Linked DNA regions of Neodiprion lecontei. The protein of the gene in region 3 interacts with the protein of the main gene of each other region in a pairwise test. Links are inferred from orthologs where the notes say so. Each region holds a gene or a part of one and is shown on either strand. Other genes may lie near its edges.

Evidence for each region. The genes of interacting proteins can lie anywhere in the genome.
Region 1: the proteins of small glutamine-rich tetratricopeptide repeat-containing protein alpha (region 3) and metaxin-1 interact in a two-hybrid assay, tested with the Caenorhabditis elegans proteins (2 studies listed by BioGRID). The link is inferred for Neodiprion lecontei from reciprocal best matches to the Caenorhabditis elegans genes sgt-1 and mtx-1.
Region 2: the proteins of small glutamine-rich tetratricopeptide repeat-containing protein alpha (region 3) and translocon-associated protein subunit delta interact in a two-hybrid assay, tested with the Caenorhabditis elegans proteins (2 studies listed by BioGRID). The link is inferred for Neodiprion lecontei from reciprocal best matches to the Caenorhabditis elegans genes sgt-1 and trap-4.

Annotation. Positions count from the first base shown.
Region 1 is NC_060265.1:18,722,676-18,728,111, forward strand, and holds metaxin-1, read right to left. Parts: upstream 3,392-5,436; 5' UTR 3,335-3,391; coding exon 3,254-3,334; exon of another isoform or gene 3,064-3,253; coding exon of another isoform or gene 3,037-3,063; exon of another isoform or gene 2,802-3,036; coding exon 2,551-2,801; exon of another isoform or gene 2,375-2,550; coding exon 2,209-2,374; exon of another isoform or gene 2,134-2,208; coding exon 1,747-2,133; exon of another isoform or gene 918-1,746; coding exon 843-917; 3' UTR 513-842; downstream 1-512. Other genes in the region: vacuolar protein sorting-associated protein 45, read left to right, coding at 154-352.
Region 2 is NC_060265.1:30,905,579-30,909,237, reverse strand, and holds translocon-associated protein subunit delta, read left to right. Parts: upstream 1-1,589; 5' UTR 1,590-1,768; coding exon 1,769-2,017; intron 2,018-2,693; coding exon 2,694-2,954; 3' UTR 2,955-3,147; downstream 3,148-3,659. Other genes in the region: proteasome assembly chaperone 2, read right to left, coding at 3,300-3,659.
Region 3 is NC_060264.1:31,908,663-31,914,583, forward strand, and holds small glutamine-rich tetratricopeptide repeat-containing protein alpha, read left to right. Parts: upstream 1-1,921; 5' UTR 1,922-1,972; exon of another isoform or gene 1,973-2,111; intron 2,112-2,568; 5' UTR 2,569-2,590; coding exon 2,591-2,910; intron 2,911-3,208; coding exon 3,209-3,697; intron 3,698-3,885; coding exon 3,886-3,997; 3' UTR 3,998-5,377; downstream 5,378-5,921. Other genes in the region: uncharacterized protein LOC107217600, read left to right, coding at 1-141, 371-615, 692-899, 1,006-1,085, 1,189-1,338.

The DNA.
Region 1 (5,436 bases), on a different chromosome or scaffold from region 3:
ACGAATATTATTGGAATACTTCTTTGATTATGGCAAACCGTAGTAATGGTATGTTCATTATAATAATATTCCAAAGCAATATGAATAATTCCCATATAATGTAGGTACTACACGAATCAGTACTCATGTATTTGATTTCATCTAAATTTTCAGACCTCAAGAAATTATTGTTTTCATAGTGGGCGGTGCGACTTATGAAGAAAGTCTCGCTGTGAATAATTGGAATAAACAAAATCCAGGAACAAAAATAATTTTAGGTGGTACGACAATTCACAATTTCCAAACGTTCACAGAGGAAATTCAAAGCGCTACTAATAGTATAACAAGAAGATATCGAAGTAGGAATAACTAACTAATAAAGCTTCAACAATACTGTAACTAAATATTTATTTGCATTACTTTTCACTGCTGTTACACTTATGTTGCATAAAACGTGTCTCAAGCTTCAAGTACACAATAGTTAACACTGGATAATGTCTGTATCTGTTCCGAATTTGCATTAGTCAGTGATATGTAAGCCATTCTTTTTTATTTTCTTTCATAATCATTGGTCCGTTTATAATACGTTGTACCGTGATAGTAACTGTTTTTTTTATGAAAATTTATCTGAGTAACTTCACCGTATAACTGCAAATATTGATTATAAGTCTAAACTAAATCACTCGAATAATCTCAGTTGAAAGAAACAGCTAGTGATTTAAAAAGTTGTGATTTACAGTATTGAACGACTACGTACTAGTTTGCGGGTAAACATTATTCGAAAATAACGGCCATTTATTAACATCTTACAATTTTTATTGTTTTCACTTCTGGAGATTAAAATTCAATTTGATATCGAAATACTACTCATCTCTAGTGTGATCTTCAAGCATGTAGTCCGGTGGCCCTTCCAACATCCGGTCATCATTTCTTGTTACCTTCAACAGATACATAATGTTTTTCGCAAGTGATTATTTCGCATAATATTGGAGTAAGTGTGGTGTTAATTTGAAAAGACTTGTATGAAAATGCTCAGTTCGTTAATAGGGCATGTCTAAATTACATACCAAAACACCAGGTTTCTTTGTTTGATACGAATCTGTCAAGTGACCATAACATTTTCATATTTGGATGAGAATTTTTCGTTGTACCTACCGATTTCACCCATAATTTCATTCTATTCGGAATCTGTAAGGGACCTCCGGGGTTTTAACATTATGACATTGATTATGAATTGACCTATATCAATTTAGATCTATGCTCACAAATCCTTTTTTCGAGCCCTACTGATCCTTAACGATTTGTTGTTCCAGAAATTCTGTTGTGATGTGTGGGAGATAATTTTGATACGGAATCAGTCAATAGCTTTTACAATTTTGTAACATACTTAAACACAGATTAGATCTTCCTTTTCAGACACATCCATGCAATTAGCTAAGACGAACAATTCTTGTTGTAAGTTTTTAATTGGAATTCACACAAGTTATAATGATGAAATTAGGATTGGTTAACTATGTGAGATAAAGGATTTGTGACAATGTTAAAAAAACCATTATCTTAGCAATTATGAACTGAAGATCAGTGAGATCGAGATCTCATAGTATTAAGAATGGGTGTAACAGACTAGTCTAAAGCCTCATTTAATAATATCATTCACGTAATTTTGTGTTTGTATAAATCTTGGACTAGTATCTATTAATAATTTATGTGTATATCTTGGAGCTGTATTTAAGAGTGCTTTAATGCAACTTATCCTTACTTACATACCTCAACAATGCCGGTGGATAAAGCATAACCGACCATGGCTACAGTAGCAAAAACGCCAGCAAGGAATTGGTTTCTCTTCTTGTGGGGAAATTCGTTCTCTGAATCTCTTCGCATTTTTCTAACACTTTCTTCAGCTTTTTTCCTCTCATATTCTTGACATATGTCCGGAAAGTATTTCTGAGATATACGAGTTACAAACTTGACTAAATTTGTGCAGGCTTTGAGGTGATTTTGCAATGCAGGATTTGGCAGTGGAGCTTTTAACAAAGGTGCAAGATATGAATAGATTATTGCATCCAGAGACGTAGGGTGAGGGCCAAAGAAATACTCTCTTTCTCCCAGCCGAGTCGATAACAGTGTCAAGCACTTCTGTGCTTCAGAATACACCTGCAATTTTAGTTGATAATTACTGAAGATGTGCAAATAAATAAATACTAGCATTTGTAAAATATTTCTATTTACCGCATTTTCTATGGCACTGATTTCGCCTTCAGTTGGGTACAGCGATTCCATCATGTTCCTAGCTTGTCTTTCAAATTTACCAGGGTAAAAGAAATTCAAAGGAAAAGGTAGTGCTTTGGCGTACCATGGCTGTATGAATTCATTGTAATTCTTTACATCAACCCACCTGTAACATTTGAAACCTAAAATTAACGTTTAGGGCATTGATAATCATATGCACGCAAGCGTGTTTCTGAAGCCTATGAATTAACATTTCCCACTTACTCATTCAGATCTACGAGATGATTTGACATGATTGTTGTCTGCACAGTTAGTAGGTAATGATTATTATTTTATACTAACCAAACATATTGCAGTGCCGGGTAAATTTTCTCCTTAAGCATAGTATCATATGCGACGACCTCAGCGCATTGTTTAGGAGTAAGACTAAAATCAGCTGTGTAATTCTTTTTTCGAAAAAATGCAGTTATATCTTTCACTGAGTCTAAAGTCTCGCTACCACATCGGAGAACAGGTAGTGCACCGTTTGGTGTCCGAAATGGATTATTAGTAGGATTTATCTTGAGCGGTACTCCACTAAATTTGGCATAGACCTACAAAATAATTATTGGACATGTGAGGAAAAAATACCTGTGAGAATTTTGACGTAAAGTTTCAATACAAAGATGATTATCAATCTACTTAAGTCTTTGAAGAAAAAAAAAAGTTTGCCTGAGAACCAGTTAATTACACAAGTATATAACCAGTAAGAGGAATAAAAATTTCTATCAATAGATGACAATACAAGGTACAAAGTGGAAACATCTAGATCAAGTTGAATTTAAACACCTGAAGTTCTCGCTGTTGTGAAAACATTGATGGTAGGGTACGATATTTTAACTGTGTATAAGATATTCTGGTTGATTATTCAGCAGGTCAATTTGAAGATGGGATTAATAATCAAATCTTGAAAACTGCGATGTGATAAGAAGCTTTTCTGTTAAAATAATGATGCGGAATAATGCAAGTTTGATGATCATAACCTTACTAAGACTGAAGAACATACCAAAATATTTAAGCACTTAAGATCGACAGAAGGAAGGCCCCAATCCCCTTTCCAGACGTCTAGTTGAAACGACTCATTCATTTCGAATTTCGAAAAATCACAAAAAATTGACAATTAAATAAATATATTACCAGTGCGTGATAAATGTTTTCCAATCGCACGTGATTGTCCTATGTAAACATGACAAGCGCCAACAACGACGAACAGTGAAAAAAAAGAAATTTCACAATTTTTTCGCGATTGACTGTTCGAAATCCCATCCTGGTAGGTAAACTAGTTGATAATATAATGTTAATTTGGTTCATGTTCAGATACGCCTGCACATCAGGAAATCAGGAAACTGAAGCTAGTCTCGCGCAGAGTATATGTATACCGCATTGTAATCATATTTGTATGGTATACTAAAAGCTGAAACGGAACTATGAAATTTATTTAATCCACAATTACAATCTGCAAATCAAGTACACAGGTCTTTCTTGTGTAGCTTTCTTGAAACACTTGCTTTCCTATGGAACTTTAATATGAGAATTTTTTTTTTAGTGCTTTGCTGCTGAGTGAATAATAATATATCGTTTCATTTAGAAACTATGTACTAGTATTATTTGAAATCAAGTTTGGTAACAAAGATGCGACTGTATAATTTTTTACCTACATGATGGAAATACATAACTTCAGTTATTGAACCACTAGAATTCAAAAAACGAATGCCCTTGTGATTGCTTTTTGTTTGAACTAACACCGTCAATTATCAGAGATTGTTTTAATTTTAGGATGAAATGAAACGGCTCGTGTTCTTCTTGATAATTACTTTCTAGGTTTATTATTATATTTATCATGTATATACATGCTTATAGTTGCCAATAGCTATTATATAGACACGCCTTATAGATAATGATTTGAAAACATAATTGATTCATTCGGAGGTATTTTTCAGAGGCACAATCGATTATACTTAGAGTACATATCTCTGCATATTTAAAAAAATTTCTATCCATTTTTGATACTGGTTTATTTTCTCATCATCATTATGATTTCGTATTATTTTTTGTATACGTAATTGAAATTATGCAGTCAAGTATGCAACTTAAAATTGATTGACCTCTGACCAATTATATGACCTATGCTTAAGTTGGTTTCAAAATGTTTTTCACTAATCAAACACATGCTGATATTACATTTATATAGAGTTTGCGCATTACAATAATCTGGTAAAATATGATTTAGGATTTATATACCAGGTATTTCATGAATACTAGTAGCAATTATTGATAACATACACTCATATGGTAAACAGAAAGAAAAAATTAAGAGATAAAAATAAAACTGACCAATCAATAACACCGCATCTTTGAGTCCCTTTAATTTTTTTTTAGCACGAGGTCAATTGGAATACAGTACGTAGTACAAATAAAAAACCAAAGTAGAAATAAAAAATACTAGCAAGAATAAACGTTGATACATCTTTTTTTTATCGTTTGATGTTACAGATAATTCTGGATAAATCTTTTGGTACGAAGCAACATGCTGTCATGTTATTTAGCCAACTGCCTCAAATTATAAATTTATATTAAACGCGATACCAATAATAAAATTTGATACTCAAACACGTGTTGAAGATATTTCAAGATTTCTTTTCATTCAAATTATATGTCTAGTAGAACATGGGAATAAAATGAAATTAATATAGTAGACATTCAAAAAAGGTATTCAAACTCAAAAATAAAATAATAATAGCTTAGATGTGATTGAAGAAAAGGAATATGTTTACTATATTGAGTTGTAGAGAGCAAGAATTGTCTTGATATAGTAATTCATTATGTGTAGTCGTAGTGACACCAAAAGTTTTTCTTCGAGCATTCTTTTTTCTCTTCTGTGTCACCTAAAATGACTATTATTATTTTTAAAACCAAAGTTCAGCTATCTACATGTAATGCGCGTAGTATAATGTAATAATTTTGTTCAAATTAAAAACACATTTATGGTAGGTGTATATGACTAAGAGTTATGTCTAAGTTATAGTATTGTACACTCTTTGTTGCTTATATTATTAATATTATCAAAAAATTAGACTATTTGGTGTGTCAATTGCACGCAACATTATGACTGTGTATGGTAATTATTATTATTATACAAATGTGATCACGATTCAATAATGACTGTGGTATTACACTAATTTCACTGTT
Region 2 (3,659 bases), on a different chromosome or scaffold from region 3:
ATTTCGCAGTCAGTCTACTACCTGACCTCAGCAGATTTCCGATTGGCATCATTTCTATGAGTTTATCTGATTTTATTGTGAATAATTACTTCGCTACTGCGAAACGCTATTTATGTCAATTTACGTAGTCGAACTATCGTGTCACTCGTGTCAGACACATAACCTCAAATTATGCGCAAGGCATCCACGAAAAAAACAGGTCGGTATGCATGCATTCTGCAGTGCCAACATAGTCAACTTGGGCACCGATTTTCCATTAGTGGCAACTAGCGCTCTCTTGCGCAAATTGCAATTGAAAAATAGCATAATGGACAAAATAAAACGGCATGGCGGGGGTTACATTAATAATTTCAAACCTTACCTATATTCAGGATCACGGCGAATGAAAATTAAAACCGCAGATTCTTTTCTCTCAAACGGCTCTGCGGTGTCAGTTGATGGATTATAACGTCGCACAAAACTCACCACACAAAAAACAATACTATCAATATAAACCATAACATCCGCGCGTACTTTGCACATTTTTTTCAGTTCAACGCAGACAAATTTCAACGGTACAGGTAGCACGAGAACATTTAGCAATTTACTGATTGTAAAATGGCGGCGCGATTGTTTGTCGATTGTTCGAATACCAGGAAATCACCGATCCTGCTGTAATCCACTGACAAAAGAATGATGACGAGTACGTGTTAGCTATTTTTCATTATAAATTTCTTTCGTAATCAACGGTTATTTAGCCGACTTTTACATTTTATCAACGAATAATCACACTCACAATTATCTCCCCATCTTGAAGATCTAGTTTGATCGGCATGTACTCGATATTAGGGTTGCTGTTGGGAAACAACCGAATTCAGCCCGGCGTTGTATTCAAAACAGCACTAACAGCCCAGAACCATATGCAACCAACTTCCGATCGCTGTTTATATACGATATCGACCTCGTACTGTATCCGCGTTGTAAAAAAAAATTTGAACTCAAACACAATTAATGAATGGACCCACTTCATAATAATCAAGCGTTCTACATGAATTAGACGATTCAAAGTTTCGAACATCTAGGATCGCATTAATTTAAAAGCGGAAAACATCCGACAGAAGGCCTGCAGCCGCATGGGTATTTGTTTACCAAAACAATTGAATAGTAACCCTAGCACCACCAGCTTCAGATTGTAGCGGAATAATACATAATCTGCAGGGGAATCTGTAGTACTGGCACGATAAGCACATTAATGTGAAATTTCTCCTTATTTTGGAAACTTTCTCATCGGTTGAGTTGTTCAAATCTAAAAAAAAAAATAGTCAGTCCTTATGGGATTCTCGGGTCAGAACAATTCTGTTGCATTATATTTATGCAGTACGATCATAGTTAACCGACTGATACCGATAATATAAAATTGAGCGTTACTGGCAGTGTTGACTTACAGACCAAGACTGACAATTGAACAGAATTACTGACTCGTAATGACGCTGCTTCGCGGGAGCGCCGTAAAGTGGCGCCATCTAATCCTAGTGAAACATACTAACTATGTCAAAATGTTGATTTGAGTTTTTCTTGCACATGGAATTAGCTGCCAGCAATTCATGGGCTGACAAGTTGCCATGTGACGTGGCTGCGGTGAACTGCTAGGTGGCACTCGTCAGAGATTCAGCAACGTTTAATTCGTTGACAGAGGTGTGCGTTCAGTGTTCAGAGCCGGTTGTTGCGATCGGGTGCAAAGTGGAGCATAAGATTTGTCACATATTGTATTAAGAGACTAATAAAAAAAATGAACAGGCTCATTGTTTTGTGCATTATCGCCGTCACCACCTCCTTGGCGTTGGCCGAAACTTGTCAAAAACCAGAAGTTTCAGCCTCAGCATACGTTACCGAAGATGCTACAGTCTTGACTAACATCGCTTTCACCACACAATTCACGCTAAAGTGTAGCAACGGCGCCAAAGGTGTTTCTCTATATGCCGAGGTCGAAGGAAAGACTTTGCCCGCAGTCAGACTCAGTGCGGACAACAAATATCAGGTATGTAATCTTAGTATCATCTCATTTCCGTCAATTGACAATCGATGATTGTCTGCCAAGTCAGCTTGCCACTTACAAGGAACATCAGTTTGGTGTCCCCCTCCGATTTCGTTGAGACTCATGTATATTGTGGAACCTTGAAAACTAAGCGACTAGTATTTTTTTTTATCTGCGGAAAAACTGTTTAGAGGGGTGAAAACGACTACCAGAGATGGACACCCAACGGGGTGATTTCTTGATGCGCTTGATGGATTCGAATGAAACCAACGCTGAAATATTTTATAATCGAATAGAAACATTTCAGCGTTGGTTTCATTCGAATCCATCAAGCGCATCATGAAATCACCCCATTGCTTGCCCATCTTTGGGGCTTGGTTTCACCACTTTGAACCGCTTTTCCGCAGATAAAAAAAAAAATATGTGTCTCTTAGTTTTTAATGTTCTACAACATACATGAGTCTCAACAAAATCAGAAGGGGACACTAAACTGATGTTCCTTGTTAGTAATATGGTATAAACTTGTACATGAGGTGAAGCGAATTGTTGTACGAGTTGGATATGAACTATCTCTTCCGATTGCTGACAATTTTTTGTAAAAATATCAACTTTTTTTATAGCTCTATCAAATATCTTGGCAAAAGTTATTTATCACCATTCTGTTTGTTTGGTACTATAGGTCAGCTGGACGGAGGATATAAAGAAAGCTAGATCAGGAGATTACAATGTTAATCTGTACGATGAAGAAGGGTACAGTGCCCTTCGCAAAGCAATTAGAAACGGAGAAGATCCGAGCAGTGTGAAACCTCTAGCTGTTGTTGTCCTCAACAACCCAGGTGCTTACCTTGGACCATGGATAAACTCTGAACTCTTAGCTGCATTCTTAGCTGCATTTGTTACATACACAGCATTCTCTGCCAAATGGAAGCTGTTATCGTAAACTAAGTAATTACAATTTAAGTCATGAATGATATTTTTAACTGCCTCCGGCTTCACTATTTATACTAAACCGTTAATTGGATTCAAATAGTTTTGTAAAATATCAATGTATCCAATATCGAACGATCAATCAATGATTCTCCTGGAGAACCAAAACTGTGACTGAATAAAATTCATTACTTTATCAATTCTAATCCCTAGCTTCTACGTTGTTCACTTTTACATAGGCGAATAAACAGGAAATACAATTACAATTTAGCTGATAATAATTTTTTATTAAGAATTTAATGAACATGATTCATTGATATAAACAAAAAAAAAAAACTCATGATAATTAATATCATATTCAGAACATTTCGAGTGGAGGATCATTGCCAAATAAGAATCTCCAAGACGAAGGTTTTCTGATTAATAAATTACCAGAGGCGTCCTTTGAGAAAAGTTCTAGCCACTGATTTAAGTAGTTAGCTAACTCCATTGCATCTGGGATGTTGTCTCCTTCTGAACAAAATCTGAGTAAGACCGCACAAGGAATATGGTTCTCGACAAAGATATCATATAGGTTTTTGGCAAAACCTCCACCTGGGATTGCAAGGACTTCGCTCCTGCCATATTCATCAATTTTACTTTCTAGATGTGTCCAGTTCAGGCTGTCGAACATTGCACCAAATTCTGATTTTATTTCCGGAGATGCAATGTAACGTAA
Region 3 (5,921 bases):
AAAATCACGCCGCCGAAATCACTACGGTTTCGTGGATGACTTCCGAGAAGATGCCAACCGGTCAGATCAAGGGACACGTCGAGGCAGAACGCTTGGAAATTGGCGGTTATCTCAGCGATGCCAAGACCTTTATGATCGGGGGTAAAATTTCTTTAATGTACTGTTCGCGTCTGATTGTAGTAAGTTTGAATTGCAGCGGGAGTTTTCTGTGAAACTCACCACTCAGTGCCAGTAAATAGGCAACCCTTGATACACTTCGAACACGTAACGTGATAGAAAATGTAACTTCAGTTGCCTACATGCTGGTGTTGAGCAACAAGTTTCACAGAAAACTCTCGGATTCGTTCTTAATTCTGCTGTAATTTCGCAGAAAAATTCTACGTCGTCCTTGCCATTTACTACGACGCATTCGTCAAATCCCACGAAGTAAATTCATTGGTTTACGAGATAAACTTGTCTAGTGGTGAAATTACTTTGGTGCAAAAAATTCGAACGAGTGGTGCAATCGCTTTGGATATTTTTGCCACCAAGAGGCACGGAATACATCTTCTTATAGCCTGTGCACAACGCCCAGCCGAATCTCAGATCCATCGTTTTAAAATACGCAAATCTAAGGTGAGCAATGCTTTTTTTCTAACTGTTTATAAAATCAAACTATACGCATACGACGAAGAGGTTTACTTCATTTCAGTTTGAACTGTTGAGGAGCTTTCGGACCGGAGGAAGCCAGAATGTCAAGAGTTTGATACTGGAAAACGAATATTTCGTATTACTCGATGATCCTCTGGCCAATTCTGTACACATTTTTTATTACAATAGAATATTTGATAACTACTATTTTTATCAAAGTCTATTTCATCAATCGCTGGTGAAAACTATCGAAGTATTTTATTCTGGAGGTAAAAAATTCTCAGATCACACATACTTGTTTTGCCAAATTTTTGAAAACTTTCTACGCATGCCTTCGATTTCTTTATTAAACACTGCCATTTATTCGTACCTTAGCTTCTGGGACTAGTGATGCCTTCGTAATCGTTACCACTGAAGAAGGACGATTTTTTGTCTACGAATACATGTACTACGGGGTAAGAATAAATCAGAGAAATTTTTTCATACATACTCGTAATTTAGTAGTTTGCAGATACAACATCAGTTATTCAATTGCGAGTTTTGCGTTGTTATGTACAGGGATTTCAATTGCGCATACAACAATGGTTCGACGGTGTTCAAACAATGACACAGTTCAACTATTCTCAACGTCGATATATTTTTGTCGGTGCCACGACAAATAGCACGGTCTACAAAATCGTGCAACAAGGGCCAGTCAATAATTTATAAAATTAAATTTCGAATTTTCTTCAATCACTTGTGCATGTTTAATATTTCAATATTTTTGAAATTAGGAAAAAAGAAAAAAAATGTTGAAAAACAAAAAAAAAAAAGATTGTAAATCTTACCAATAACGTTGTTGAAATTAATTTATACTAATTTATTCTTACATGATCATCATACTTAATCTATTGTTATACGTATATACTATTATATTATACACCATGTTATATGCCTTGTTAAGTGTTATTATACATTATATCGTTATTACTGAAATATAAATTCTGCATTGTTGCCTAAAACAAATGTTCAATGTCGCGTTCAATCCAATTTCTAAATCATTTTAACTTTGTTATTTGACGAAATATCCACCATTTTTTCCACGGATATCGTGAAATGATAAAACTGCTTTAGCGAATTAAGAAGCTCCGACTTCTTGCGTGAGTCGTGGCGTCGTTGGTGCCGTTTTAACAAATGACACTTTGGTTTTGGCGCCGGAGAATGGAGTGGAAATTACGATAGCGCCTCTGGCGGTGGAGAATAGTAACATCCCGAAATCGGCAGTCTCACTTACGTATTTACTCTATGCTCAAAGCGTTAGCCGGCCGCAGCAGTTCAATCTTTTTGGTTATAGGTATAAGTTGTACGTACAAAAAAGGTGATCCGGCCTACCAGCCGAGTAGACACGTAGAAATTTTTATCCTAATCAATCGTTTGCTGTCGCCGCTTTTGCGCTGGTACCACTCGTTTTAACACGTTCACTATCAATTCTTTAAAGGCAGGTTCGTTTATCACACTTTACCATCAATTATGTCGGTATTTATCAACGCGCCTATTTACTCTCGACGCAATACGGATAACAAGTCTAAAAGCAAGTCCTCACCACAAGTTGATGCATACATCGATATTTAAAAACAATAATTCCGTAAGACGTGAAGTCGGACGCGTAAGATGTGCGAAAAGCGGGTAAAACTTGGCGGTTAATTTCCCACTGAGGATGAATGAGCAGATAATCACCGTCCGTAATGATTTCAAATTTTTTTTTTCGCCACCTCATTCCACAAAAAATGGTTCTCTGCGAATTTCTAACGCACAAGAAAGAAATGAATCCATATTCGATTGAATAACTTTAAAGATGGTTCTGCTATTCTTTTATTTGTTCCTTATTTCTATCTTTCTTTCTTGTTAAAAATGTGAATCGGCGGTCTTGATAACTCAAAGACTTTGTTTCTTTTCCAGTAATTATTAACTCAAACTCAAGATGGCAGTAAAAGGATTAATTGCATCGGTTGTGCAGTTATTAACGCAGCAATTGGAGGATGGCGATCTGTCGGATAATTCAAGGGAGAGCTTGGAGGTTGCAATTCAATGTTTGGAAAGTGCCTACAACGTTCAAGCTTCCGATGCTTTGCCCAACATTAATTTGTTAGAATTATACCAAAATGCTGTCGACAATGCCAAACCTGATTTTGGACCTCCGGCTACGCCCGAGGCCAAAGCTGAAGCTGAAAGACTCAAAAATGAGGGAAACAACCTTATGAAAGCTGAGAAACACCATGAAGCTTTAGCTAATTACACAAAGTAGGTGAAACATTAACGAAATCATTTAAAATGTATCAAAGACTCGCAATATTCCTTGCCGATGAAACTTTAATTCGTTTTGTGATTTAAGCGGCCGATTTTAAGAGAACGAAGAATATTTCTAACATGATTCTGAATACTTGATTCTTGCTCTTGTTATTGGTACTGATCAGAATTTTTCTGTAAAATCTTAAATCATTGAAAGGTCGAGAGGCTGTCAAGAAATAATAATAATAACAAGTGATTTTGTTTGCGATGAAAATATTGCAATAAAATACTTTGATCTCTATTGTTTCAGAGCCATTCAATTGGACAGCCGCAACGCGGTGTATTACTGCAACCGAGCGGCGGTGCATAGTAAAATAGGAAATCATGCTCAAGCGATAAAGGACTGTCATACAGCACTTGCGATAGATCCTTCTTACAGCAAGGCTTATGGACGTTTAGGGCTAGCTTATTCAAGTTTAGACAAGCACAAAGAGGCCAAACAGAGTTATCAAAAGGCATTGGAAATGGAACCGGGTAACGAGAGTTACAAAATGAACTTACAATTGTCCGAAGAGAAACTTGCCCAGCAGGGCGTAGGCTACATGGTTCTTGGAAATAATTCGGCTGGAGGAGCAGGAGGAGCTGCACCCAATATGGATTTGAGCTCCTTACTCAGTAACCCTGCGCTTCGAAATATGGCTCGTTTAATGCTCTCTGACCCTGGAATGCAAAACATGATGAGTGATTTAATGAGCGGAAATGTAGAACAAGGAGGCCGAATGGAAGCTCTGATCGAGGCGTAAGAAATCAATCTATTATTATCACGAATGTGAAATGAAAACTTGACGCATCGGGTATTTAAAAATTCATATTGTAAACAAATATTTACAATCTCATTTTTTTATGTAATCTCATATTCATAGAGTTTACATGTAATCATGCTATGCTCGGAATGTTCTAATGGCAAAAATTGGTGTATTTTTCTAGGGGTCAACAGCTGGCACAGCAAATGCAGAGTGCAAATCCTGATCTGATAGATTCTCTGAGACGTCAAATGGGAGGAAATCCGAACGATCCAGAACCTCCGCAAGAAAATTGAAAATCCCGAATAAGACTGCCCCGTTTAAAGAAAAAATCATTCTTTGAGTCGTTATTTTCATTATCAACTGTGCAGAAATATGTAGAGTACCTCGGTATTCTTTAAAATTTTCCCTCTCATTGTTAGAATTATAAAATTCCCGAAATCTCGTCACCGTCACTGACCATCGTCTAAATCTTTAACGATTTGATAAACACACGTCTGATCTACACGTTTTTCCTTCTAAATGACTTGTTGAAGAATTACATGAACTACAGCAACGAATACAACCTGTTTTCAAAATTCAATGAAAACAAGCCTGAAATATGCTCTTTAAAAAGCATTAAGGTGGTCGCGATTCTTAAAAACCGACGTCCCTCGTATACATGTTTCTTTAATAAAATAGACTCTATTATGCAGGCCGTAAAATTTACATGTGTTTGATCAATTCCGGTCCAACTTTTTAAAGTACCACAATGAAATACATTATTATTTCGTAAATTTCGGCAGTCATTTTGAAATGCAGTTTTATTTTATAAAGGAAATCATGATTGAGTTGAAACAAAAATTCATCCTGCGTTTCAAACTTTGCAAAAGTTGGATCTTATTTTCAAACGCAATTTCCAAATACGCTAGAATATGACGATAGAAATGGTGACGAGAGGATTTTTCATCGATTTTGCCATCTTAAATTTTACACAAGACAGCATAGACCTAAGAAAGTCTGGTTATTCCGTAGAACGGGCTGTTTATCGATTCCGGAAACTGAAAGCAACCTAATTTAGGCGAATTTTTAGAGAGTAAAGAGGTATTGGACATTGTATAATATTAGAGATTAGGAAGGCTATTTCATTGGTATTCCAATAACTTATGCGATAGCGCACCACATTGTAACTATTTTTTTCCTCTGTTCGTTCTATTCGATGTTTCGCTTAGGCTTCCGTTTTCTATTTTTGTACATATATATTGCAAAATGGTTTCACGAAAATATACGTTTTTAATACGTATCATGTTTAAACACTATACGTATAAGTATAGCACACGAATAAACGACGATGATTTGCTGCATTTTCGGATTGATCAATGATCGATTGTAAACCTTTAGCAAAAGTTAAGTAATATATGCCTCAATATTATACGAATTGTTGAGTATAATTATGAAGTGAATGCTGTAAAAACTGAGAAAAAAATCAGGGGAAGAATCATGCTAAAAAATCGCCCCTTAAATTATCTGTACACATGCATACATATATACTTACACTTAGGTAGATGCATAGTGTAAAAGCAAATGGGAAAAATCACAATATTATACTAATTTATAAGGTGTTAAATAAAGTATAGACGATTATAAATGAATTAACAATTCAAATTGTGAAATCAATTAATCGATATAGCAAACAATTCTTGTTCCGAATAACTTTCCCTCTCGTTTGACAATGCACTCTGAATTTAGATATACCGTATTTATTATTGTGATCTGGTGGCTGGTACAGGAGAGTCAATAACGAAACTTTACGTTGAATTTTGAAAGAATAACACAGAAGTGAGACAAATAGCATGGTATCGAATAAATTTGAAATTTATCCACGCCGAGAATACGAAAAAACGAATGACCATTTGCTGTAATTTTGCGAAGTACATACACCATGACCTACCCCTGGACCCTGATTCTTCATTCTCCTCATCGGTCTGTTTACAATAATCATCATAAATCAAGCAAAGTTCGTTGATTCCGGTATGTGTCATAGGATGACGTCATGCGATTACCGTGCACGCACACACAGATTTAGTATTGTGCGAATATGTGTATATTACTACGTGACTGGGACGGTTGAACGGACGTGGTTCGTACTCCTTACATATGTATACACGCATGCGATAACACAAATAAGCAACTAGGTACACAGGTATACAGATTTTACATGGATTTTACAGCACACGTCGA